Linked DNA regions of Rattus norvegicus. The protein of the gene in region 4 purifies or fractionates together with the protein of the main gene of each other region. This does not show direct contact. Links are inferred from orthologs where the notes say so. Each region holds a gene or a part of one and is shown on either strand. Other genes may lie near its edges. The genes, in order: Plk1, Csnk1d, Sqstm1, Dvl2, Vangl1, Peli2 and Vangl2.

Region 1 (3,933 bases), on a different chromosome or scaffold from region 4:
AGGTAGGTCTCTTTTAGGCATGAGGTCTCAAAAGGTGGCTTGCCCACCAGCAAGGTATACCTGGGGATACAAGGAGGAATTCTGTTCAAACTCCAAGGAAAATCCAAATGTAGAAGTCATTGTCTTGGGACCAGAGTTGGGGAAGCTGTGCTGGATTCACTGACTGGGAAAGGATGGGATGCTCTCCAAGTCTGCCCAGCAACCAAAGGCTGGGCAAGCACTAGGAAGAATGCAAGTGAAAACACCTGGATTCCGAGGTGTCAGGGATTGCCTGGCTCTGGCCTGCAGTGACAGAGGACTCTCCAAGGGTTCCAGAGGCCACCATGGTGGGGGTTCTGCTTACCACCAGACTATCTGCTGGCCTAACTCTCCCATCAGCACTCAGCAGGGCTTCCTGATTTTCATGGAAAATCAGGCAGGGATTGTATTAAACCCAGGTTCAGATCTCAGATTCTGAATTCCTAACAAGCTCTCAGGTGTTGATGATTTTGGTCTATGACTGCTTTTAAACAAGTCCAAGTTACAGGGATCCCCACAGCCTATGCCAGACTGACATGAAAACCAGGGTTTCATGTGGGGCAGCCTGTCCTCTAAAACAGCCTTTCTGTAAGGTAGAAAGATCCACTTGGTAAGGTCAACTGGGTGAGATGCCCCAGAGACTCCTGCTGAGGCCCAGAAGCCCAAGTTCATTGCCAACTTACATGATGCACCCAATGGACCACACGTCCACCTCAAAGCTGTGTCCCTTCTTGCTCAGCACCTCGGGAGCTATGTAGTTAGGAGTGCCACACAGGGTCTTCTTCCGTTCCCCTTCATATTCCACTTTTGTTGCCAGGCCAAAATCCCCTGGGACAGAGGGAAGAAGAGAGGGTGCTCAGCTACTTAGATCAGCTGTCTAAGGTTGCAAACAGCTGTTTCAAGCCTGAGCATTGACAACTTAGTGGCTTGAGACCCCCATAGTCCCGGAACACCCCCCCCCCCCCACACACACACACTGTACTGGCCCTAGCTGGCCTCCCACTGCCCTTTAACCCCTCTTTAGATAGCAGGGTTAAGGTTAGGTAACATGGCTCAGGAGGTAAAGGGGCTTGCCGCCAAGGCTGATGATGACCTGAGTCAGGATCCTGGAACCCACACAGTGGAAGAGAGAACGGACTCCTTGAAGTTAACCTGTCTCCATCCCTCATATAAATAAAGTTAAATGCACTGGAGAATCAAGTAAGTGATCTCGTGATTGCTGCTGAGCAAGTGTGTGAAGAAGTGACAGGGATCTAGGGACTGGCAAGTCAGACTCAAGGGGACAGCTGAGGAGATACCGCCTGCCATGCCCTATAGCTTATGTCCCCCATCTCCTGTTTAAAAAAGAAATTGGCTGAGGGTCTGGCTCAATGCTAGGGGATAAAGAGTATTTGGGGAGGCACCCCAAGTTCAAAACTACTGAGTTGAGGCACAGCAATGTATCTAAAAAAGGCAACACCCCCCTCCATTTCCTTTCCAGAGGGCAGCACTTCTCTTTCCCTCCTCCCAGCCTTCCCCTCCTTCCCGACTCTTGTGCTGGCTGGCACAGGCACCCGCAGGCCCAGCACCTCACCTATTTTCACCTCCAGATCCTCATTCAGAAAGAGGTTGCCCAGTTTGAGGTCCCTGTGAATGACTTGATTGCGGTGCAGGTACTGGCAACCCAGGACTATCTGCCGCAGGTAGTATCGGGCCTCGGGCTCGGTCAGCGCCTTCCTCCTTTTGTGCAGCTCCAGGAGAGACTGAGGAGGAAAGAGGTCACTGAGGCCCAAGTAGGGTGGCCAGCTTAATATGGCCAACTAGGCGCTCGGAGTGGAGAGTTTTGGCAGGTTTCTGATAGCTCTGCCCATAAACTCGTCACTATCATTCACCGGACCCTCTTAACTAGTGCCCTTATACAGAGTCTTCTCTCAACCCCACTCTCGATCCCCTATCCCAGGGCTTCCTCCTGGCAGGAGATCCCCTCCCTTTCCTGAAAGCTCTAAGGTCTGACTCCAAACAGCCGCCCCCTCCCCCGACCTTGCCTCACTCCGGAAGTTCGAGATCCTCGGCACCTCAAGCCTGGAACCCTTCCTTAGCCAATTTACGCATCCATTTCCTGTACCCACTCACAGCCTTGCGTCTAGGAGCCCCTTCACTAATAGCAACAGGATCCGGAGTGCCAAGTACCGTCGCTAGAAGCCTTTCCATAACAGCTTAAATAAAACCCAAACACTCCTCTAGGCCACTCCAAAACCTCGGTGCCACTTTGCCAGCAAGTTCCAGGTGTAGGAGCCCCAGAAACACTTACCCTCCTGCGACAGAGCTCCAAAACCACGAACACAAAGTCGCTGTCCTCAAAAAAGCCATGGAAGCCTACGACGTGCTGGTGTGCGAGGCTGCGGTGAATGGAGATCTCCATAGACATTTTCTCCTTCTGATGGGGCTTGAGCAGCAAAGACTTAGGCACGATCTTGCCTGCGAACACCTCTTTTGTGTCTGAGTCTGAGATTTCGAAGCATTTGGCGAAGCCTCCTTTACCCAGAAAGCGGCCCCGTACATACTGCCGCCGGCTGCGTGGATCCATCAGGACCTCCGGAATCTCTTTCGCCAGCGGGGCGGCCCCTGGGGCACCGGGAGCTGCGTCTCCCGGGACCCCACCTTTCCCTAGGTCGGCTGGTGCTCGAGCCAGCTTTCCAGCTTTGGCCGCTGCATTCATGATGCCGATGTTGCTCCACGGACCTGGCCGGGTAGGTGCAGAGGATCCTGCTCTGCTCCGCTCCTCCCCGAATTCAAACGCAGCGCTGGGAACGTTACAAGGGCCTGCGCGTTGCTGATTGGCCGCGGGGATTTAAAATACAAACCCGCCCAGCGCGCGGCACCATGGGAGTGCTCTACGGCGCAGCCGCCTTTAAACCCCGATCTTGCGGGCGAGAAATTTGTACTGGAGGATAGAGTGCACTCTAGATTGCCTGGGAAACCAGGAACGAATGAACTAGGTAGAGATCCCTAGGAGAACAGGATTCGGTCCTGCTTTCTGCTCCTCGGCCGGGGCGTGCTCATGTGGTTCACCTGCGCCTCCTCCAGAGGCTTCTCCTAACTATTAAGATCTAACACCTTCCTCCGCCCGACCTGGCCTTCTAGAACTGAAACTCCAGGTCAAGAGGTAGCTTGGGAGTGCACCGCCACCACTGGCACGACTAGCAGGCAGATGCACCTTCACAGCGCAACCGACCGGCAGCCTCTGTGGCAGTAGCTCTCAGCCCCTGAAATGTAGCTCAAGCCTTCGTCTGAACAACCCAGGGGCCAGTAGCATCTGCAGCACCTGGGAATTACCGAGGAAGGCAAAGGAGAGGCGTGGGTTCAAGACTACAGATTAGCCTAGGTCAGCTTCAGCTACCTCTCCGCTAACCCCAAAGGAAAGAAACTTTCCAGGCATGACCTGCCAGTCAAACAAGACTTTCAGATGATTCAGATGACATGTAAGAAACACCAGACGTCCGCCCTGGGATACAAGCTTGTCCTCAGCTGTGTGGCCCAAAGCCCCAAATAGAGACAACTTTTAGTCAGAGGTGGGGGTGGTGGTTAGACCCAAGTCGGCCCTGCAGAAGTGTTCAGTTCGGCCTTCATTTAGAAAATAAATGGATTTACAACATGTAAAAAGAGTGGCCACACAGAGCAGGTGTGTGGCTTTTCCTGGAAAAAAAAAAAAAAGTCAACTCTGGCCACTATTCCCAGACATCTTCTTTGCCCACTTGCCTGCTGGTTTCTGTGGGCACTTTAGTGATACCTTCCGTTAGAAGCTGTGTTCCTCTAGTTCCCCAGGAGGGTCTTAGCAAGATCCTATTGCTGGATTGAGCAAAAACGGCAGTGCTGCTGTCTTTCCCAGTGCCTTGCAAACGATTGTACTAAATGCTTTCTGAATAAGCCCAAGCT
Region 2 (4,058 bases), about 52 Mb from region 4:
GAAGAATAAAGTGCCTTATGAGGAATACCAAAGAGGAGTTTTAGGAATATTTTTCAACTACACTTGCACCAGAATGCATGTCACACAGACTTCAAGATGAGGATCCAACTCCACTCATACTCACGTGGCTCTTGACCTATGTATGGTATGGGTGAGCCAACCCATCCGCTGTCTTCAGGTCCTCTGTCTCCAATTGTCTTGCAGACCTGCTTTTCTAGCCTATCTTACTCTGAATCGCTCAGTTCATGCTCAGTTCCCCAAGGTAGCTTGAAAGGACAGTGATGAGAGCCAAGTGGAAAGAGAGAAGACTGGCAGTGCCTAATCCCTGACAGAAAGCACACTGTGAGGCCAGCATGTTGGCACACAGCACTCACAAGGTAGATCTCTGAGTTCAAGGCCAGCCAGTGCTACATAGTAAGACCATGTCTTAAACAAAACAACAACAAAACTCATACCATAACAGATAAGCCAGTGACTCTAACCCTAACCCAGTGTCCATCTTGGAGCATAACAGAGGAGTCACCAAATTAAAACTTTCTGGAAAAGGTTAGCTCACATGATCAGCTGCTGTGCCCAGGCCTATGTCTAAGCCAGCCACCACCTACACACTGTAGAAGACCCTGCCCAGGATGTGTATTCGCTGGTTCAAGACAGTCTTTCAGCCCTTTGTCCTGTCCCTGGCGTCCCCCTGCTCCGGATGGAGGTGATTTTTTTCTTTCTCTTTTTTAGGGCTGTAGGAACCAGGTGGGGCAGAAGGGATGTGACTGAGTAAGGTGCAACCCCAGACACAGCTTGCACTCTCCTGGAGAAGGATTTACATCTCTGAACGACACATGACCACCATAGCACAAATGGTTGTTAGAACCAATCTTCAGAAAGAACAAAACCTTTTGGCAAAATCTCAGGGAACAAAAAGTTTCAAAATACCTATTTTCTAATGCCCACGAAAGGGTGGCTAATGGATTGGTTTTCAGTATAGCTCCTATATCCTGAGGTTAAACTTCTGCCAAAATCTATTGTTCTAAAAATAAGTCAAACAGCTCCAATTTACCCAGCACTTTTGACTCCCAAACACTGCCGAGAAGGCATCTGGCTGACTCCTTGGATATAAATATTTAAGTAAGCAAACCCTAAGTCTCTCTAAAGCATATTTTACTCATCAGACCACTCTGGCAAGAAGTTCAGGTTCAAAGGCATTGATGTAGCACATCGCAGGGTTAGCCTAACCAGGCACCATACGTACTTATGAGCTACCCAAATGGGACAGTTGCTCACCCAACACGGCCAGCTACCAAGGTCCTAAGAGGAGTTAGAGTACAAGCTGTTAAACTTGGGAAGCTTGAAAGGTGAGGCCCAAAGCATTGCTTCTTACTGACTCTCCATTAGAGATACAACAGCCAAACAAATGCTGGAGATGGGCTACTGTTCAACAGAACACGGTTACCTCTAACAGGATGTTCACCACCAGAAAGCTCCAAGTACCAAGGGGCTTTGGAATAACTTATAATTCTAATAAATGCAGGGGGTAGTTTAAAAATCCCAACTACCGGGTTTAAGCAAACCTTTAATCACACGTATATACATGCATAGCCTTTCACCATATTAAGGTGGACATAACCCAGGATAGTTTAACCCCAAGTCTAGGATTCTCATGTCTACCTTTAGAGTTCTGAAAGCCGCCATGAGAACTTTCACACCGCTTGTCTCCCCTCTATTCTGCCAACATCTTGACACTGAATGTATCTGCATTAATCAAAACTTCATTCCTGTTGATTTCCAGGTGTCCAGGAGTCAACTTAGATGCTCAACATATCCTGAAGACCCCAGCCAAACCAAGGCCTTTCAGGCCAGGCACAGGGAACATTTTCAGTCCTGTTTTGGAGTTAAGGTGGCAACCAGGAGGCTATGGGTGATCCCTTCAGCGGGTCAGCTAACTGGAGATACCATTGTGGAAAAGGGCAGGCCCAGACAGCCCCAAGAACTCTTAGAAATCAGCCGGTCATTTCCCCATTTCTGACTGGGACACTCCCCACCTCCACACTACATTTGGATTGTTTTGACATCTCTCCCACACGCAGGAAAACATCCAGGACCACACTGCAGGGATGAGGAACAGTACCAGACCCTTTTTCAGAGTAGAGCATGGCCTTTGTTTACCGCGGTGACCTTAGGTGGGGGAGGATGCTGACGCCCGGCCCAGGCCCTGCCCCTCCGAGCCCCACCCTCAGCGCGATGCCTTCCCTTGCCCCGCTCTCCCCTCCCCCTCCTCGCTGCCCCCCGGCCCAGGCCCGCTGTCCTTTTCCCACGCCCTCTGACACCCCACAACCTCTGGCCAAGGCCCGCTGCCCCCCGCCTCTAGGCCTTGTTCTTCCTCTCCCGGGTCCCCGACCACTCCCCAGACACGCTCCGAGCTCTTCACCCACGGTCCTGCAGTCCCCAAGCCCAGCTGTCCCCCAGCCCTTCCCCGCACCCCACCCGACCTGCCGCGCCCAGCCCCCCGGCCGCGCTCGCACAGCGGCCGTTGGTGTCTGGCCACGGCCAGTGGCCGGGCCCTCGGACTGCGGAGATGCCGAGCGGCCGAGTGTCCACTACGGCCCTGCGCAGGCCTCGGCCTGCCGGGGACCCCGCCCGCCGACCCGCAAGACTCCCCGGTGCTCGATGGCGCTGGGCCTCACCGAGATAGATGTCTCCGAAGGAGCCGCTGCCGATCTTGCGGCCCAGTCGGTACCTGTTCCCGACCCTCAGCTCCATGGCAGCGGTGCGGCTCGCTACTGCCCGCCCGGCCGCTTCCTGGGTCTGCGCTCCGGGAGGCGGCGCCGCTGCTGCCGCTACTGCGGGTCCGGTCCGACTCCGCCCCCCTCACGGCCCCGCTTTCACCATCGCTTTCTGGTCGCCCCGTCGCTCTCAGCGCCTCAATACGGGGCGGATGGGACAGTCCGAGCGCCGCCGCCGCTGCTCCGGCCCCTGCCGGCCCCGCTCGCCCTCTCCCCGCCGCGGATGGACTCGGATCTTCCGGGCCTAAATCCCCCTTCAGCTGCCTAAAGGAGCCGCCGCCATCGCGCTGTGACGTCACTTCCCCTAGCAACCCAAGGGGGCGGGGGCCACCGTGCTCGGGGGCGGGGCTTGGCTACTTGATGGATTGCGCAGTCGCAACCAGGCCTGTTTCTCTGTCCCAGTATCCGCCGTTCCCGAAGGATGACTACAGCTGGTCACTTTGGTCTTCCTATCTGTCTCCAACAGAAGTCTGAGGAAGCTAAGCTATGTGTGGTAAGGAATGCCTGTAGTTCCAGCTCTCGGGAGTTCGAGACCAGCCTGGGGCACAGAGACCCTGACCCCTAAACACACCACGTATACCAAGAAGCCAAACAGCAAGCAGTTTCTTTTGTAAACCCCGGGAAAGGCCCTTTGCAGATAGGGTAACAGGGCAGAGAAGGCGGTCCAGGCAGACCTGGACGATTAGCTTTTGTAGGAATCACCAGTCCTGGGCTTTGAATGGTGCAAAAACGTGCCTGCTGCTGCCTGCCAGCTTCTTACACATCAAGGGTGGAAGTAAAGTAGTCTTCCTGGGACCCCTTCCTGGGTGGGCAGGAAGGTGAATGTTGAATTCACAGAGAGTGTAGAGCGCACGTCCCGACCCTGGTCTCTCTCCAGGGCCATCTGCCTGGAGAACAAGTCAACATTTTTATCTGGTCTGTATTGGATCTGAATGTTCTTCCTGACAAACACAAACATGAATTCTGAAGTTCAGGCCGGAGGCCAGCTTCCAAGACTTGGCTGTCCATTCTGACCACTGGGGAGGGCCTATGGAGGAGCCACCACACAGGAGGTGCACCCTAACCAGGAGGGGACAACCTTCCAAATAGATGCTTCTCTAGGCCCACTCCCACCCAGCTAGGAACAGAAGAGTCATAGATCAAGGGAATGCTTACATTAGAGCTCTCTGCACAGGGTGTAAATCTGCTGTCACCTCAGCACCGCCTGCCTCGTGGGCAAGAGAAGCAGTTCAGCGATTGCCCTGCAGAAACACACGGAGCTCATATGTCTCCTAGTCTCCTGGC
Region 3 (4,271 bases), about 20 Mb from region 4:
CTATGCAAGCCTGGGCCTAGCCTTCAATTTGAATTCCTCCTGACTCAGCTTCCCAAGTGCTGGGATTACAGATGTGTGTCATCATGCTAGCTAACAGGTCACTTTTGCCACAGAAAGCAGCATTTCCTGGTTTTGGCCTTCGTGCTGAGGGTTGAACCTAAGATGTGACATATACCAGGCAGGTACTCTGTCACTGAGCACCAAATCCTTATGCACCAAATCCCCATTAGTGGTGTCCCCCTGGGTATATCCATGCTAAGCTAAATCCTCATGAACTGTGTCCCTACTAAGCTAAAATCCCCCTGGGTATATCCATGCTAAGCTAAATTCCCATGACCTGTATCCCTACTAAGCTAAATCTCCCTGAGTATATCCATGCTAAGCTAAATCCCCATGAGTTGTATCCTAACTAAACTGCATAGACAGCCTCTTTATTTTGCCCCCCCCCCCCCTTTTTTTGAGAGGCTTCTTGTAGCCAAGGCTGGCTTTGAACTCCGGAACCTCTGGCCTCCCAAGTACTCAGATCACTTTCTAGTTTGAAACAGCTTCACCAAGCTGCTCAGGCAGACCCTGAACTTGGTATTCTCTTGCCTCAGCATCTCAAACAGCTGGGATAACAAGTCTGTGTCACAGGACTGGCTAAAGCCTGTATTTTAGTTCCTAGTTGGAGGGCAAGTGGTCTGATTCCTTTGTGCTCTTTGAAGCCACTAAGGCCTGAGATACATGCTCCTTCCCCTCCGCCCTTAGAGCCTGTGTGCTGTGGTGTGTGTGTGTGTGTGTGTGTGTGTGTGTGTGTGTGTATTATGTGGGTTGTTGTGAGGAATCTCAGTCTTAGTAGTGGTGACTATTGCAGTTTCTGGAGCCCTGGCTACCCCTCCTACAGGGTGGGTTTGTGAGAAGTCACCAGTGCTAGTCCAACATCCAGTCTTTGTCAAATTGGATCAGGCCTAACATATGGATGATGTCCCTTTATTCAGTGAGGGGCTGGTCATGGTGGATGCCTGAAGAGAGAGTAGGGTGGAGGGCTACTACGGGGGACACTAAGTTTGGGAGGGTTGGAACAGTATCCCGTGAAACAGCTTGTTTGGCCAAGGAATGGCTACCTGACAGTAGGCATCTGTGTCGTCTGAGCCTCTGTGCTGGGGCATCCATCCCCCTTGGCTTGGGGACTACACTGCTGAGTCATAAGCAGGCCCAAACCTGGGAGGAGCCTAGGCTCGGATACTTACCGGCCCTTTTCCCATCGAACTGAGACTGAGGCTGGTCTCTTGGGGTCACCCATGCATTCGGAGGGAAAGAAAAAGAGGAGGCGGTGGGGGCGTCTCGCCCCCATACCTGTCAGGGGTCCTATCAAGGGCCCTCGAGCGGCCGCCCGGACAGCGGGGAGGGGCGGAGCTCAGAGAGGTTCCGCCCCCCACGAGGCGGGGCTCCCCCCGTATCCTATAAAAGCTGGGCTCTCGGAGCCGCCGCTGCCCAGCTGTTTCCTCCGTACCTAGTCTGCGGTTATGGCTTCGCTCACGGTGAAGGCCTATCTACTGGGCAAGGAGGAGGCGGCCCGCGAGATCCGCCGCTTCAGCTTCTGCTTCAGCCCGGAGCCGGAGGCGGAAGCCGCGGCTGGCCCGGGGCCCTGCGAGAGGCTGCTGAGCCGGGTGGCTGTGCTGTTCCCCGCGCTGCGGCCTGGAGGCTTTCAGGCGCACTACCGCGGTAAGGGCTCGGGGCGGGGAAGCCATCCTCCCCCGCCGCGGAGTATCAGGTCTGGGCGAGGACGCGATGGCGTGTCCTCTGGCTGCCCGCGGGGACAGGGTGGTCAGGCGGCCGCTCAGGTTACAGCTGACATCCCGCGGTTCGCTTGCTCCTCGTATCATCAGGTGATGGGTTCAGTTAAAGGCCCGGAAGAGCTGGGACCGGGCAGATGTGGAGGAGGGGTGGAGAGCAGTGACGCGGGTAAATAAGCGGCGGGGGCGGGGTGGGGCAGCCCGTGGGAAGGGAGGTAGGGGACCCCGGAACTAGCTCCGTCTCTTGCGTTGCAGTGGTTGATGGCTGCATGGGGTGGAGCTAGAAGTTGTTGACAAGAGACTAGTGGACAAGGCCCTCCCCCTGGGAGGGGATAAGATTGAGATCTCTTTATGGAGGACTGTGGGTAGGCCAGGTTGGTTGATCAGTCTGTCTCTTTTCTGAGATAAAGCCACGTAGCCTGATTCGCCTTGAATTTACGAGTGGTTTAGGCTGGCCTCACTTCAATCCTCTTGTCTCAGCTTTCCAGTGCAGGAATCATAGGGATTATTCTGGACAAAAAATGTTCAGTGTAAGTGAGTTTTAACCTAGGTCCAGTACAATTCACCCAGGTCTTAATGTCCTTCCGAGTCATCTTTGTGCTAGGGCCTCATGTATGTTAGGCTCTCGACTGACTGAGCTACCACCCCGCCCCCCAAACTCCTTGCATTTTTTAAAAAGTGAGTTATATAACTATTATCACATTCGGTTTAGAATCTTTTTTTTTTTTATAAATTTTACGTGTGTGTGTGTATAGCCTAGCCTGATACACACACACACACACACACACACACACACATATATGTATATATATATATATATCCTAGCCTGCAGATGTGTGGTTTGTCCTGTATGAGGTGGTTGAAGACTGTTTGTACTGACATAGAAATATATGGCTGCGCTCCCAGTACCTGTGTGCTAATGTAAAAATGAAAGCAGATGGGTTTGAGAAATGACTCAGTGGTTAAAGCCTTTGCTGCTCTTCCAGAGGACCCAAGTTCTGTTCCTAGCGCTCATATCAACTGCAGCTCCTGGGGATCCCACACCCTCTTATGGCCTTCGTGGCACATGCATACACATAAGTGTGCATGTGTGTATGTGTGTGTGTGTGTCTGTGTGTTCAAGTGCGTACATACATATGTAAAAGTAAATATCAAAAGGCAAAAAAGAAAAAAAACCCAAAAAAACCCAAACCACTTGGCAGCTTGGTTGCATATGTTTGTGATCCCAGCACTAAGGAGGCTCACCTACACAAGTTGGAGGCTGTCCTGTTCTAAGCAGTCTCAGGCCAGGCAGGGCGCAGAAAACCTAGAATTGACAAAAACAAAACCAACAGAGCAACCTCAACCTCAGAACAACTTAGACAGCGTCTGAATGCACAGTGGTTTCTGGTCACGTAGTTGAAGGGAGGGGACAGATGGGCTTACCTCCTTTCCTTCTGAAGCCTGAGGCCTTTGAAGGGCTGGACCATCAGGACAGGGTACTGGCTGGAATCTCCCAGGTGAAAATGGACCTGGCCTACTTACGTGTGGCCTGAGGGCACAAATGGCCCAGTGGTTTGTGGCAGGAAGCTGGACCCTTACACACATGACATATGCTCTGCCTTGTGCATGTACCGGATCTAGGACTTGGGTTAGAACATGTACTCACGCCATATCAGAATGAGTGGCCATCTGGCTGCTTGCTCCAGCACTCAGATTGCGTCTAGAGCCTCTGTAGATGTCCCTTACCATTGGGCTCCCTGTACATAGCAGTGGGCATCCAGCAGATGCTGGGTACCTGTGCTGCCCTTTCGGCTTCTAGTTCTGGGAATGGCACCTAAGTCTTCTGCACGCTCCACCAATGAGCTGTGTCCCTGGCTCTGATATGTTGTTTCCTAAACAATCTAGATGAGGATGGGGACTTGGTCGCCTTCTCCAGTGATGAGGAACTGACAATGGCCATGTCCTATGTGAAAGATGACATCTTCCGCATCTACATTAAAGGTAAAGACTGCATCCAGGTACTTCCCATCGGACTTCCTCTAAGGCTCAGGGGTCTGAGTTGTCTCTAGGACAGAGATGAGTTCTGATGCCTTGGGGTGGATATAGGGGGGTTGGGAGGTGTCAGAGGTACAAAGGTCCTGCTGTGTGGGCCATGGGTGTTGAACAGAGCAGGGCTTGGTACCTCTTGGCCTCCTAAGTGGTTTACCTGCAACTAAATTGGACTCTTGGACTCTCCCTGCAGAGAAGAAGGAGTGCCGGCGGGAACATCGCCCCCCATGTGCTCAGGAGGCACGAAGCATGGTGCACCCCAACGTGATTTGTGATGGTTGCAATGGGCCTGTGGTGGGAACTCGCTATAAGTGCAGTGTGTGCCCCGACTACGACCTGTGCAGCGTCTGCGAGGGGAAGGGCCTGCACAGGGAGCACAGCAAGCTCATCTTTCCCAACCCCTTTGGCCACCTCTCTGATGTGAGCTGGTTCTCTGCAGTCCTGGGGCGGTGTCGGACAGGGTGG
Region 4 (3,360 bases):
CAGCTCATTCACAGGAAGCCTCAAACAGGTAACACCACACCATCTTGTTCCAGGACTCAGGCATGGGTGGAAAACCATTAAAGGTTTTCTTGACCAAAGAAGCCAAGACGGTAATTACCGTCAGTGAGGAGGGTGGGAGTGGAAAGGAGCACACAGTGGGTGGCCTTTTCTGAGGTACTCACCCACACCTGTTTCATGCTTTAGTTTGAAGTGACATGCCATCGAGATTTGCAATTTTGGGAGGTTTTTTGTTTTGTTTTTAAAGACTTATTTATCTTATGTATACGAGTACACTATAGCTATCTTCACACACATCAGAAGAGGGCATCAGATCCCATTACAGATGGTTGTGAACCACCATGTGGTTGCTGGGATTTGATCTTAAGACCTTTAGAAAAGCAGTCAGTGCTCTTAACCCCTGAGCCATCTCTATAGCACTGGTTTTTTGTTGTTTTTTTTCTCCACTATGTAGACCTAGCTGGTCTGGAACTCACTATGTAAATCAGGCTGTCCCAAGCTTAGAAAGCCCAACTCTGCCTGGAGTAACATAGTCTGTGTACAATGTCGAGGCCTAAGGAGCAGACGCAGCACAGACTTACCCTGGCTTGTGTACAATGTCTCTCAGCACCCGCACAGCATCGTCATTGCTCATGTTCTCAAAGTTCATGTCGTTTACCTGCAAGGAAGGGCAGTGGGTCACAGGCAGTGTGCAACAGGCAGAGCCTCTGCCCAAGCCAGCTGCCAGTCAACACACCTGCAAAAGCATGTCTCCAGGCTCGATCCGCCCATCTGCAGCCACCGCTCCCCCTTTCATGATGGAGCCTATATAGATGCCTCCGTCACCACGCTCGTTACTTTGGCCCACAATGGAGATACCCAGGAAGTTGTATTTCTCTGTGGAGGGAGGCCATATGAGGGGACTGAGCCCCAGAAACCCTGAGACCCTCTCCTTCCCATCTGCCATCAGGACCCTCCATACCCATGTTGAGTGTGACTGTGATGATGTTGAGAGACATTGTAGAATCTGTGACACTGCTGAAGGATGAGGTCTGCAGAAAGAAGACAGGGAAGATGTGAACTGCTCCCCATCAACAGAGACATAAGCCACAAGCCTGTGTCAGAGGGCCAGCTAAAGTAAAGCCTACTTCTCCCAAAAGAACCCTCACCCTCTCCATGCGTGGCGGCCGCTGCTTCCTTCGCCTTCGGTGGCGCTTGAGGAGGCGGGAGGCACTGCTCTGCTCAGTGGAGCTGCTGAACCTGATAGCAATTGAGAGAGAAGCAGAGCATTTGGGGGTGGAAGTGGTCAGGGAGTCACAGGAAACAAGAAGATTGGCTAGGAAGGAGGGAGGACAAGGGGCGAGCGCCTCGGGCGAGGGCGGGCAGAGGAGAGATGTGTGAAGCCATACCTACTCATGCTGTCATCCTCATCTGAATCTCCTAAGCTGGTACTTTCCAGTTCGCTGGTCATGAGGGTGGAAGAGCTCTCATACCCAGCCAGGTGGCGCTCCAGCCTTGAGGGGACGCCAGGCCTGTGGCCACCAGCTGTGTATAAACAAACGTGTCAGGAGCCAGGCCTCCCATTCTTCATGCTCGGCATGCTGAGGCTTGCCTCCCTGCCCAGCTCACAGTCTACCCTGCCTCCAGGGCCTGACCCCTCACCGCCATGCTCACTGCTGTCTCTCCTCCTAGGTCGGTCTCGTCTCAGTGATACGACGGATTCAGTTTCTGTCTCAGGCTCTAGATTTTCATGGCTACTGGATACATTAGGGCTACACAGGTAGAGAGAGTTTCAACCAAAGTCAGAAGGACAGAGCACCGGATCCTCAGTCTCCCCTCTTCGCTCCCCTCCCCTGGATTCAAAACCGTAAAAGACTCACTGGAAGGATGGAGGCCTTGAGTCCCCAATGCCACTGGTCCTTTCTGGTGGCAAAGGGGGTAATGGTGGAGGTGGAGGAACCAGTTCTGTCCGAGACTCATGGGCAGGGGGCGCTGTCTCAGGCTGGGGGCTCTCTGATGACACCAGCTAGGGGAGTGTAAGTGAGAAAACATGGCTCCACTGGGAAGTGCTTTACGAGAAAAGAGTAAAGGAAGAGGACCAGAAAGAAAGGGAACAGGGTCCCAGAGACCTGGGCCAGTATGCGAGGCTACAGGAAGAAAAGGCTGAGGAATGCTCACTGCATCCACAAGTAGAAAAGAGGGAAGCCAGGGCCACCAGTGACTGAGCATGCGGGGGTGGGGGTGTGTGGGGTGTGCCGAGATAGACTGAGGTTGGAAGCAGCTTGGTAACGAGTCCCTTACCCAGGAGACAACCCTTCCATTGAAGCAAGGTAGGCGGGCACTGTCGTCAGAGATCTCTTCCTTCACCACCCTGCAGAGAGAGAAGAGCCATTACTAAGAGCCAGGTGTGATAGGGTACACCTTCAACTCTAACACATGGGAGGCCGAGGCAGGAGGCACTCAGTGAGCCAGGGTTTTACACACACACACACACACACACACACACACACACACACACACACACACACACACACACAGAAGCTGGATGGTGGTGGCACGTGCCTTTAATTTCAGCATTCTGGAAGAAGAAGTAGGTAACCTGAGTTTGAGGCCAGCCTAGTTTACAGAGAGAGAGAGTACCAGGACAGCCAGGGCGCCACAAAGAAACCCTGTCTCAAAAAACAGGGAGAGGGGATTAGTAAGGCTAAACTGGTCACCCCCATTCCGAATCTCATTCCAAGTCTCTCCCAATCTCCATCCAGTCCAAGCACAGCAGAGTTAGTGTGTGTGTGTGTGTGTGTGTGTGTGAGAGAGAGAGAGAGAGAGAGAGAGAGAGCCAGCGAGCTGTATCCCTGAGAGAGAGAGAGAGAGAGAGAGAGAGAGAGAGAGAGAGCCAGCGAGCTGTATCCCTGGTTGGCCTCAAACTCATAGAGATCTGCCTGCCTCTGCCTCTCCATCCTGGTATTAAAGGCATATGTCACCAAAACTAGCTATGCCGCATGGCTAGCATGCCTCACCATGCCTGGCTCCTCTGCTTTTACAGTGAAGTAATCCCAGACTCTCCTTATTTTATCCCAAGACCCCCTCCTCCCCCACTCATCTGTAGAGGCACAGTGCCGCTAAAAAGACTTCTTCCCATTTGATCCAAACCTCATAGTACCACTCCAAATTCCCTCTGGGACAGTTCCCAACAACTGCTCCAGATACCTAACTTAGGAGTCTGGCTGGCAGGCAGCCTAACCGTCTCTGTCCTACACATCTGTCCCATAAAAGCCTCTGGTCCTCATGTAATCTGCTGCTGTTCCTCTGCATTTTAGTTCTCTCTAATTCACATCCAGAACCTGCCCAAATGTGTGGCTTTTG
Region 5 (3,500 bases), on a different chromosome or scaffold from region 4:
GGTGGCAGATGGTTTGTTCAGTACCGCCAGACCTGGGGCCAGTCCCCAGCCCCACACGGTGACGCATGCCTGTGCTCCAGCACTCAGAAGGTGAAGGCGGGCTGACAGGATGGGTCAGGGTAAGGGTGCTTGGGCTAAACCTGACAACCTGAATTTGACCTCTGGAGGCCATGTGGTAGAAGACAAAGAACCAATCCCCAAAAGTCACACTTTCCACATATTCACTGTGGCATACATGGATGTGAACACGGACATACACATATACACACACATGTACACACACACACACACACAGAGATGTTTAAAAAAGGTTTTTTTTTTTAAAAAGTTCAATATTATCTTCAGTTATACAGAGCATTCAAAGCCTTGTTGGGCGGAAGAAAGAAAGAAAGAAAGAAAGAAAGAAAGAAAGAAAGAAAGAAAGAAAGAAGAAGCAAACAGAGTTTCAGCCCCCTTGTTCCACCTTTCCCCAACCCTCCCCCCAGCAACTCAGGAAAAGGAAGAATGAGGTGGCAGGCTTAAGGGAAGCCACCTTTGTCACCTTCAGTTCCCATGGGAAAGAGTATGGGTAGGGCTGGCCCCCTCCAAGGGCAGCAACAGAAGCCCCCAGGGAATTCGTTCCCACCCCCAACATACCCTCCCATCCACTACCACCACCCCCGGGGCTCAGACCCACAGACTGTGCGGTAAGCTTTGTGAGTGGGCCCAGGACCTGTGATGGCTGTTTAGAGCTGGTGATTTCATACAAAGTCTTAGAAACGTCAGAGTAAAGTGGTCTGTAAACAGTCATACAGGTCATGCGTACAAACAGAAAATTAATTCTGGAAGCTAAAAGAAAAAAAAAGTGAAAATAAAATGTCCAGCGGGAGGAGGGCCCAGGCGTGCAGGGTCACAAACCTCGCTCTCCGCTTCTTCACCCTCCGCTCGTGTTCGGCCTCTTCATAATACAACTCGTTGTGGCTGGAGTCCCTGCGCCGAGCTGCTGCAGCGATCATGGCTCGGGACTGACCAGTGGCATTGTTACTGGGCCCTTTGATGAAAGGAGAATACAGACAGCTTTACCCTCAAACGCCAGGAAGCTGGACAGAGAACCAGCACCAGGGTCTGTGGTCTGCTGGTTCTTTCCCACCCATCCCGCTACAGAGCACACAGAGATCTTAAAAGTAACTTCCCTGGGCCTGCGCAGTACTCCACAATCACAGCAGCCAGGAGCTCTAACCCCAGTCTGATAGGGAGATGGAGAAAGAACTCTGAAGGAGCCACAGACTGCTCACCCCTGAAAACACCGGCCAAGAACAACACCCGCCGGGGAGCGTGCTGAAGAGGTCACTTACCATCTGCTACACAAAGTTTCAGTTTGGCCATAAGGGCAGCTGGGACATCGCATGCAGCAGACAATGAGAGAGAATGGGCAGGATGGGAGAACAAGGACAGACAGAGAAAAAAGAAGTCAAGGGACACTTACAGTGATCACACACAGGAAAACAAGCTAAGCCGGGTGTTACTGCCCCGAACACCAAAGCCCAGCAACCACAATGCACCCCATTTGTGAAACGGCCCAGAGGTCCTGAGCATGACTCGGCTTAGCCTATCGCAGAGACACAGCCAGGGCCTAATTCTTTCTTCTGGGTGACTTGGTAAGCTAAGTTTTCCCATTAAGGGTTTGGCTTATCAGCTATACACCTTACATAGCCAAATTTGGAAAAAAAAGTTAGACGGGATACCATTACCAAAAACTGACACCTATGTAAACCAGCTGACTTGTTGACAACACGAATGTCTTCAGGAGTCTGCAAAGCTCTTGTCTTAGCCAAGGTGCCCAGCAAGACGTGACAGGGAGTCCTGTTTCTCACACTTGAGCACCCGACACCCTGAATGAATCTGGGCTCCGACTTGGTGAGGCTGGCTCCAGCTTCTGGTTGTCATTCAACTCCCGTTCCGAGCCAGGACTGAGAAGCCACAGAGGAGCTCCCAGTTATGGGAGCTCTCAACATTTCTAGGCCTAATGCCCTTTGAGAGCACCCTCAGTCTTTGGGTAGACTGTTCAGACTTTGAAAAGTGTTCCTTTCCTAAGGACCTTCAATCTACACCGTTCCTAGCGGGAGGCAGGAAACACAGCTACAGGTTCCAATAGCAAAATCTCCAAATGGATGGACCTGCCATATATGCAGACTGTAAACTGACATTCCCCTAGAAAACATGCTTGTCTACATTTAAACTACAAATAGAAATTGTTCTGAAGCGAGAAAAGACTGTAAGGAAGCACAGAGTAGGTAGAAGCGAATGTACTAAAAGGATCTGTGACCCCCACACCCCACAAATGGTTTCAAGCACATACCATCTACATTGTAGACTTTCAGGCCAGCCATGTGCTTGGCTGCTCGGAATTTGGATGCTGTTAGGAGGTTCGGGTTATAGATAGTGAAGTCCTTGTAGTAATTTTCCAGAACCACCAAGGCTGCTCGCTGGATGCTGTGAGATGAGGGCAAACATGAATGCGGGGTTTTCAGGGAATACAGTGGGGCTGAAATGAGAAGTCTATTTGAGTCAGGTCAATTGTAAATCAAGGTAGCACTCCCAGGGGCATCTGCTGGTTCCTACCCTCCCCATGTCTCCCACTGTTAATGGCTTCCTCCCCTCTCCCAGGCTCTGGCATTCCCCTCATACCATCCTGCCAGTAGCTGGAAGAGGAGAAAGTTACAACCTGTAACTGAGATTTAGGTTTGGGGTACACAGAGCTTTTCCTGTTTGTCCCTTAGTTTACAAAAAAGAAGAGGAGGAGGAAGAGAGGGAAGAGGAAGAGGAGGGAGAAAAAGGGAGGAGAGGAGGAGGAAAGAGAAGAAGAAGAGGAGGAGGAGGAGGAGGAGGAAGGGGGAGCAGAAGAGGAAAATGAAGAGGAAGAGGAAGAAGGAGGAAGAGGAGGAAGAAAAAGGAAGGAAGGAAATTAAGAAGCCCCTTCCCTGAAAGGTAGGAAGTTTGATGTTGCTCACAGGGATCAAGAATGAGAGGTCGGGCTGGAGAGATGGCTCAGTGGTTAAGAGCACCCGACTGCTCTTCCAGAGGTCATGAGTTCAATTCCCAGCAACCACATGGTGGCTCACAACCATCTGTAAAGAGATCTGATGCCCCCTTCTGGTGTATCTGAAGACAGCTACAGTGTACTTATATATATAATAAATAAAATAAATCTTAAAAAAAAAAAGAATGAGAGGTCAAAGCTTCTCATTACACACACACACACACACACACACACACACACACACACACACACACAGAGGACCCTGTCCCAGGTCTAAGGAACTGGTCTCTCATGTTACAGCAATGTTCTCCCTATGGGGCAGAGTCCTTCAAATGAGGCTTCAGCTAAGATATTCCGAGTCTTAAGATCCTCAGGAGCTCCCATCCTTCAAATGCTGTCTGGGACACTCAGCAGGTGAGAACTCTAAGCTACCATTTTGGAGCCCAGGTGATAATCCATACCCAAGGAGCATGCTGGGAGC
Region 6 (3,500 bases), on a different chromosome or scaffold from region 4:
GTTTAATATCCCATCCTGAGGATTTTCCAACCCATAAGCAAACGTGTCTTCTAGTTCACAGGGGAAGGTGGAATCTACTGAACGGGAAAGGCCCTGTTAGAACTCTTAAGATTCTCTTAAAATTCAATCTCTTGGCAGTGTTGACGTCTCACCAAGGAAAGGAAGACACTGTGATATTGGTAGCAACGTTTAGACTTCCCCGGAGAAGTTTCTTTTTAATCCATTCATGAATTTCTAAGAAGCGCTTTTTAAATTTTTTCACTCATATTCTGAGCTCTAGACTGACTAGGATAAGCGCCCATCCCCTGTTCTTAGGTTGACTGAGTGATGGCAGCTTTGTCCCTCTGTCTCAGAGTAAGAAGGGCTTTGTTCCTGCAGGTCTGTGTTTAAGTCAAGGGCTCTGACTCACGGAATCCAGCAAGCACAGTTCCTTTGTTCCTCTAAAGGTTTGAGACCACCTAAAATAGAAAACCAAGAGTGATTGGCTGTAAAAATATTTCCAAGTGGATCCGAGATAGAAAATCCAACATCATTCTCCAAGAATAGAAAGTTGAGCTTTCTCGTGATATTTAAAATGGGTAGACTAACAGACATAACGTTGCAGTATACAAAATGAGTAAGACCAGGGAGTCTAGGCTATAGCATAATACCTGTAGTCCTGCGTGTTTATATATGTCCGTCTCAGGCTGAGGAGAGAGCTCAGTCGGTAAGCTACTCACCTCTCTACCAAGGGTAGTGAAGTGATGTGTGTAATCTCAGTGCCGGGGGCAGAAACAGGAGGCTCACTGCTGCTGGCTCACAGGCCGCCATGCCAGACTGGGGAACAGCAGGCAATGAGAGCGTCTCAGGAGGTAGACGGCATCTTTGACGATGACAGCCTTAGTTGGGTTCTGGCCTCTGTGTGCGTGTCGGTCTGCACACAAAACACACAGGGCATGTGGGGCGAGGCGGGGGCGTGGAGATCTCACTCACTGTCCATAGTAGGATAAAATGAAGTGGAGTTTTAAAAGAGATCTGGTTGCCGTCTACCATAAATTCTCTCTCCAGTAACAAGAAAGGGCATGGTTAAGCGGAGATGATGAAGGTGACAGGGTTCTGGGCCTCTGTCCCTGTGAACGCAACGTTTTTTCATGCGCGTCATGAGAATGTTTGGTTCCTTCAGGTGGGCAGGTCAACAGAAAGTCCCATCGACTTCGTGGTCACAGACACGGTTTCCGGCGGTCAGAACGACGATGCCCAGATCACACAGAGCACCATCTCTAGGTTTGCCTGCAGGATCGTGTGCGACAGGAACGAGCCATACACAGCACGCATATTCGCAGCAGGGTTCGATTCTTCCAAAAATATATTCCTCGGCGTAAGTACTGTGACTGTACTCTGGTTTCAGGCTCACATCCACTACTGTGATAGGAACTTACTTTGGGGGGAATTTGCTTTGTATGGAGGCTGTAGTTAGATTTTTTATTTATTTTTTTTTTAAGTTTTAGTTTTCAGCCCGAGAAGGCTGCGGTAAAGACCTGAGGATAATTTGAAGCCTGGCCACATGCACCCAGCCCTCGGGAGAAAGAAGCGGGAGGGTTATAAGTTCAAGGCCAGCCTGTACAGCATAGAGAGATGCCGCCTCAGTGAAAAGAAGATCCATAGATTACTCCGTCGTTGTTGTTGTGTTTGCGGTATAAGTTATAATGTACACAGTAATTATTTTAAAGGCGTGTATGTTAGCATTATGTATAACACATTTGCGGTGAATTTGAGAGGTTTATTTCAAAGGGGAAAATGAGCTGCTAAATTTTAACTCCTTAGAGCTGGAAGGAAAGAAACTGTCAGTGAACTAACTGTTCACAGAAAGGCGAGTGTTTGCTGTATCCCGTCCTGTATGTGGTATGTCGTAACAAAGAGAAAGCCCTTCCCTCGTGGGGTATCTTGATAAACAAACCCCAAAAGCTTTAGTGACTATCCTGCCTTGATACAAATACCTCTAGAATCAGAATATTGTTGCAGGGAGTAATTGTCCATTGTGACCTAAAGGATAACATGACAGGAAGTGCCGTGGAAGGCCAGTCCAGCACAGGATGATGTCGCGGTCCTGTGACATCTTGGGCCTTGTTTTCTGTGTCTTGCCCACTGTCTCTGCCGGCACACCAGCCACTTGGGCTTTGAGAGGAGAGGGAGGTCTGCTTCTGAGTGTGCCACCCTCTCCTGAGCTTTCGGACATCAGTGGTCCGGGGTCTTAGGGAGCCTGGGACTGCTCTGATGGGTTTGTACTAAGCAGGGCTTTGATCCCCTTGCCCTGCCTCATGGTCCCGGAAGCAGGAGGGGCGTCAAAGCAGCACAGAAGCCGGAGCAGTCTGTCCCATCACTGTCCGCCCTGGGGACAGGCACAGCCATTTGCGTGGAAACACACCGGCCCCCACATTACTGGCTTAACATTTTTTGTTTTAATTTTGAACCTTTAATAAAATTGAAGAATATTGTTTCTTTCTGTATCCAGATCTCGAGTGTATGTAAAACAGTTGTAGGTCCCTGGGTGAGAGCAGGCAGAAGTGAGGCCAAAGAAAGGGAGTGGAGGCTTAGATGCCAGGCTCGACACAGGGGAGGAGAATCCCTCAGTGAGGAGGTCAGGTACCAGGTATGTTTAAACTCCCGAGGAGAGTGTCATGCGTGGCCAGAGATGAACCTTTCCGCCTCAAACAGTTTAACACCTCTCCTGGCATCGTACCAGCACACTGCACTCCGCTTATCAGCTTTAAATAGAGAGTAAAGTCCCTCACCTCTCTCCCACCTTTTCAGGGAACTTTGTTTCTCAATGCAGTGTTTCTCTGTGTGGCCCCGGCAGTCCTGTAACTCACTCGTTCTGTGGGCCAGGCTGGCCTCGAACTCAGAGAACCACCTGTTTCCGACTCCCAAGTGCTAGGATGAAAGGCGCGCACCACTATGGCCGACTGGCTTTCCCTGTATTTTAGGAGGCTCCGTGCGTTCCCTTAGCAAGCTTACTCTGGTCTGTGGTGTCGTTCCCCAGGAGAAGGCGGCAAAGTGGAAAAACCCTGGCGGGCACATGGACGGACTCACCACCAACGGCGTCCTGGTAATGCACCCAAGAGGAGGCTTCACGGATGAGTCCCAGCCCGGAGTCTGGAGAGAGATCTCCGTCTGTGGAGACGTGTACACCTTGAGGGAGACCAGGTCGGCCCAGCAGAGGGGGAAGCTGGTGAGTTGGGCTCCGCTCTGGAAAATGCACGCAGGCACTTCATGGTGCCCATCGCTTCCCCGCTGATAACGCTCAGAACCTTCGTGTGGGGTAGGAGGTGCCATTTTCTGATCCAGAAACGATCCCCTGAGCTCCGGAGAGTTGGAGGGGTCCGGCTGTCCTCTCCTCGTAGCTGGCCATTTCTGTGTGCACGTGTGTTATTTTTCACTCCCGGCCGCCGTGAGAAGACAGTCGTTAATCGTGTTTATCACTGCAGAATTCATCGTTCCCCATGATACTGTACTAAGCCAGA
Region 7 (3,500 bases), on a different chromosome or scaffold from region 4:
TCAGAGAGGTTCTACCTCCATTTGCCTATGATCACATGACCATACAAGTCAGAAACAGCAGTAAAGACTCCTGGGTACAAGACCACACTTCCCCTTGTTCTGTGTGTGTGTGTGTGTGTGTGTGTGTGTGTGTGTGTGTGTGTGTGTGTATACCAGGAACTACAGCTGTAACACTGGAGAGCAAGACTACAAGGAGAATCCTAACTCTGGGACTATGTCACAGGTACATTGTGCCCAGAGACTTGGGGCTAAGGGTGAGGATGGGGGACAGCGTTAGCTGCTGTCCCACAGGAATTTGGCACCATGGTTCTCTGGGGTCAGAGCTGTGCCTTCAAGAGAAACCCTATCAGGGGCCACTAGAGAGCATGGCTCTAAGAACATACGTTTATAAGTTGGAGCTCAGGAGGCAAGGGTACAATCAGGAAGGCCCTGAACACGTTTGGAAGGGGCTTCCATCCAGGGAACATTCTGGGGGGAAGAACAGGGGTTTGGGGGTAGTTATTAGGCACTGTTTCCTGCAGGGCCTGGAGTGATACAAAATTAGGGGGCAGGATGGTTCCCAGGTATTGTTAAAGCAAGGTGTTCTCTCCAGATTTCCAGATGGGGAAACTGAGGGATAGGGGAGGAGACTGGGTACAGGATAAGTTAATTCAAGTAAAAAACAAAAAAACAAAAAAAACAAAAAAAACACAAAACAAAGCAAGAGCAAGAGGAAGTAGGATGGCAGAAATGTGTCAGGGCCTGAGAACCAAGCCCCTCCCACTCCGCAGGAACCCCCACATCCCTCCCTCTGGGCTGCTGCAAAGTCACACAGAGGTCTCCGACTGCAGCCGCATGACAAACTTATGTGACTTGGGATCCACGAATTCCTCGGAAAGTTTGAAGAAGGGCACCTTCTTGGTGCTCACCACCAAGCTGAAGTCCTGGCGCTTTAAGAGGAAAACAATGCCGTCCTTAAGCCCATTGGTCACCGGCTCCTCGCTCACCAATGTCCACTGCTTGGCCAGCCAACGTTCCTTGTGGTACTGGATGGTGGGTCCAGCGGCCAGATACCGCTCCAGGAAGGCCTGAGGAGGACAAAAGATACTGTTTTGGTATCTCTTCCACCCATCCACCCTTCATCTGAGACGCAGCTTTCTAAGATAGCTAGGCTGTGTCTGAGCTCATACTGTACACATGAACTAGTATCTTCAAATGTGAGCGCAGAAGAGAGCTGGAGAGACGCTTCACGTATACATGGGGATGCTGACATGCACCGAAGCGATACAGTTCCAGCCAGGACCAGAACTCACGCCATCCTTCGCCCAACTGTGCCCAGGGTAACTTGAACCTCATTTTTCCTTCTCTCCTCCTTCCCTTCCATACAGTTGCCATGACTAGAACCATGCAGGTCTACACTAGGAGGGAAGTGGGCTAAGCAAAGATTCAAGTGCAACACTGTGTGTGTGCGTGCGTGCACGCACAGACACACACACACACACACACGCACGCACATGCACGCACACGCACACACACACATGCACGCACACGCACACACATGCACACACACGCACACACACACACACATGCACGCACACGCACGCGCACACGCACGCGCATACACACATGCACACACACTCACACACACGCACACACGCACATGCACGCACACGCACACACACACGCACACACACATGCACACACATGCGCACACACACACGCACACACATGCACGCACACGCACGCGCACACGCACGCACACACGCACACACACATGCACACACACGCACACACACACGCACACACGCACATGCACGCACACGCACACACACACACGCACACACACGCACACACGCACATGCACGCACACGCGCACACACACACACATGCACGCACACGCACACACACATGCGCACACACACACACACACACACACACACACACACACACACACGTAACTGAAATCAAGAACTCAGGCCTGCCATACCACTGAGCTACATTCTCAGCCTCTCACTCTCTCTATCACCCACTCAACAAAAAAGTCTCCATGAGAGCCATTCTAGGGAGCAGGCAACTGGGCTGAGGAAAGCCAATAGCTAAAAGTAAGCAGAGGTAAAAGCTTCCCTTTGGGGATGAAGGGGTAAGGAAGGTAAAGCTGTAAGACTTGGGTAGAAATCCTAGGGCCTGCTAAAAATGAGAAAACAGGCCTCTGAAATCCCCCAATAGTTCCGAAGTTGGCCCTTGCCTCCTCCTCTGCTCCACAGAGACAAAACAGATGGGATGGGGACAGGAAAAGAGATTCCCAAGAAGAGGCAAAGAACAGGAAGGAGAAAGAGTGGTGAATACGAAAGATTACAAGCAAGGTCTGGGAGCAGCAGGCCTGCCTACCTTGGGTGTCATGTCGTGGGTGATGCAGAACTCCAGGTGCTGAAGGATGCTCTCCATGGTGTGGTAAGGCTGCTGTTTCGTGGTGCGAAGGTACTTCTGCATGGCTCGGGCCATGGATGCAAAGATGGCTTGGGCTGCTTCCCGGGGGTCCATCACCTCCCTGGGGTTCTTCTGCTCCTCTTCCTGCAGCCGCTTAATGTGTGTGAAGGCCTCCTCCACAGCCACCACCAGCCTGGGGGACAGACAGTATCTGGACCAGGTGCCCACTGCTCATCCTACCCTCTACCCACCGGCTCTGACTGCGGCAGCCAGAGTGAGATCAGGCCTCTGTGCTCTCCCGGAAGTAACAGAAGTCCATGTGAAGCCAAGTGCCCAGAGAAGCCCACAAGCAGCAAGAAACAGTCGTACTGAGTGGGATCAGGCTAGGGACTTACAGTGAATGAGCCTAGCATCAAATCCAGAATGGCACTCAGGAACTAAGCTGCAGAAAGGGCCGAGTATCCCATGAGACCTAGGAAAAGGCTCCACACCACACTACACTACACTGTGTGAAAAATGAATACATGTAACTAAAGGGAAAGGGCGTTAGTAGAAGTGGTGGCAGTAGCGTGTTATTTATGTGGGTCGGGGCATGCACACGCCCTCTATGTGGCTTAGAGGAGTCCGTTCTCCCTTTCCAACATATCGGTTCATTCTGGGGATTTGAACTCAGGTCATCAGGCTTGGCAGGGTGCCATGGCATTTCTATTCAGTCGCAATAGCACAGGGGTGCTGACACCTGACTCGGGTGGAAGGATATACGCAGATCAGGCTGGTATACATAGGAAGTTCCAGGCCAGCCAGGGCTAACACTAAGACCCTGTCTCCTCCCCACACCACCCCAAAAAATCCAAGGAGGGACGCAGAGGCAGGCACGTCCCCAGGACCTGGAACCCAGCCAGCTTAGTCTAGCCTACTTGATGAGCTCCAGAGCACTAAAGATACCATCTCAAAAAGCAAAATGGAGGACACCTGAGGGACAACAGCTGAGGTGTTATATCCTATTGGGCCAATATATCCTATTGGGCCTGAAAACCAGTCTTCTCTGTAGGTGGCAAAAGTCAGACAGAGCCGGCTCCTGTTAGAACAAGCCA

The links.
Region 1: the proteins of Dvl2 (region 4) and Plk1 purify together in Homo sapiens (affinity purification with mass spectrometry; 6 studies listed by BioGRID and IntAct, with this or other methods). This does not show direct contact. The link is inferred for Rattus norvegicus from reciprocal best matches to the Homo sapiens genes DVL2 and PLK1.
Region 2: the proteins of Dvl2 (region 4) and Csnk1d purify together in Homo sapiens (affinity purification with mass spectrometry; 3 studies listed by BioGRID and IntAct, with this or other methods). This does not show direct contact. The link is inferred for Rattus norvegicus from reciprocal best matches to the Homo sapiens genes DVL2 and CSNK1D.
Region 3: the proteins of Dvl2 (region 4) and Sqstm1 purify together in Homo sapiens (affinity purification with western blotting; 3 studies listed by BioGRID, with this or other methods). This does not show direct contact. The link is inferred for Rattus norvegicus from reciprocal best matches to the Homo sapiens genes DVL2 and SQSTM1.
Region 5: the proteins of Dvl2 (region 4) and Vangl1 purify together in Homo sapiens (affinity purification with mass spectrometry; 4 studies listed by BioGRID and IntAct, with this or other methods). This does not show direct contact. The link is inferred for Rattus norvegicus from reciprocal best matches to the Homo sapiens genes DVL2 and VANGL1.
Region 6: the proteins of Dvl2 (region 4) and Peli2 purify together in Homo sapiens (affinity purification with western blotting; 3 studies listed by BioGRID, with this or other methods). This does not show direct contact. The link is inferred for Rattus norvegicus from reciprocal best matches to the Homo sapiens genes DVL2 and PELI2.
Region 7: the proteins of Dvl2 (region 4) and Vangl2 purify together in Homo sapiens (affinity purification with mass spectrometry; 4 studies listed by BioGRID and IntAct, with this or other methods). This does not show direct contact. The link is inferred for Rattus norvegicus from reciprocal best matches to the Homo sapiens genes DVL2 and VANGL2.

What each region holds. Positions count from the first base shown.
Region 1 is NC_086019.1:186,146,525-186,150,457, reverse strand, and holds the start of Plk1 (serine/threonine-protein kinase PLK1), read right to left. Parts: upstream 2,801-3,933; 5' UTR 2,717-2,800; coding exon 2,309-2,716; intron 1,761-2,308; coding exon 1,592-1,760; intron 847-1,591; coding exon 702-846; intron 61-701; coding exon 1-60. UniProt on the Homo sapiens protein: Serine/threonine-protein kinase that performs several important functions throughout M phase of the cell cycle, including the regulation of centrosome maturation and spindle assembly, the removal of cohesins from chromosome arms, the inactivation of anaphase-promoting complex/cyclosome (APC/C) inhibitors, and the regulation of mitotic exit and cytokinesis.
Region 2 is NC_086028.1:106,751,889-106,755,946, forward strand, and holds the start of Csnk1d (casein kinase I isoform delta), read right to left. Parts: upstream 2,801-4,058; 5' UTR 2,752-2,800; coding exon 2,676-2,751; exon of another isoform or gene 1-2,675. UniProt on the Homo sapiens protein: Essential serine/threonine-protein kinase that regulates diverse cellular growth and survival processes including Wnt signaling, DNA repair and circadian rhythms. It can phosphorylate a large number of proteins.
Region 3 is NC_086028.1:35,034,951-35,039,221, reverse strand, and holds the start of Sqstm1 (sequestosome-1), read left to right. Parts: upstream 1-1,471; 5' UTR 1,472-1,505; coding exon 1,506-1,704; intron 1,705-3,662; coding exon 3,663-3,758; intron 3,759-3,999; coding exon 4,000-4,226; intron 4,227-4,271. UniProt on the Homo sapiens protein: Molecular adapter required for selective macroautophagy (aggrephagy) by acting as a bridge between polyubiquitinated proteins and autophagosomes.
Region 4 is NC_086028.1:55,225,286-55,228,645, reverse strand, and holds part of Dvl2 (segment polarity protein dishevelled homolog DVL-2), read right to left. Parts: intron 2,369-3,360; coding exon 2,299-2,368; intron 2,024-2,298; coding exon 1,878-2,023; intron 1,770-1,877; coding exon 1,660-1,769; intron 1,543-1,659; coding exon 1,407-1,542; intron 1,258-1,406; coding exon 1,167-1,257; intron 1,050-1,166; coding exon 980-1,049; intron 895-979; coding exon 755-894; intron 677-754; coding exon 600-676; intron 1-599.
Region 5 is NC_086020.1:192,284,599-192,288,098, forward strand, and holds part of Vangl1 (vang-like protein 1), read right to left. Parts: intron 2,473-3,500; coding exon 2,339-2,472; intron 1,374-2,338; coding exon of another isoform or gene 1,335-1,373; intron 1,031-1,334; coding exon 898-1,030; intron 1-897.
Region 6 is NC_086033.1:24,005,484-24,008,983, forward strand, and holds part of Peli2 (E3 ubiquitin-protein ligase pellino homolog 2), read left to right. Parts: intron 1-1,162; coding exon 1,163-1,357; intron 1,358-3,019; coding exon 3,020-3,208; intron 3,209-3,500. UniProt on the Homo sapiens protein: E3 ubiquitin ligase catalyzing the covalent attachment of ubiquitin moieties onto substrate proteins. Involved in the TLR and IL-1 signaling pathways via interaction with the complex containing IRAK kinases and TRAF6.
Region 7 is NC_086031.1:86,997,771-87,001,270, forward strand, and holds the end of Vangl2 (vang-like protein 2), read right to left. Parts: intron 2,600-3,500; coding exon 2,368-2,599; intron 1,068-2,367; coding exon 807-1,067; 3' UTR 150-806; downstream 1-149. UniProt on the Homo sapiens protein: Involved in the control of early morphogenesis and patterning of both axial midline structures and the development of neural plate. Plays a role in the regulation of planar cell polarity, particularly in the orientation of stereociliary bundles in the cochlea.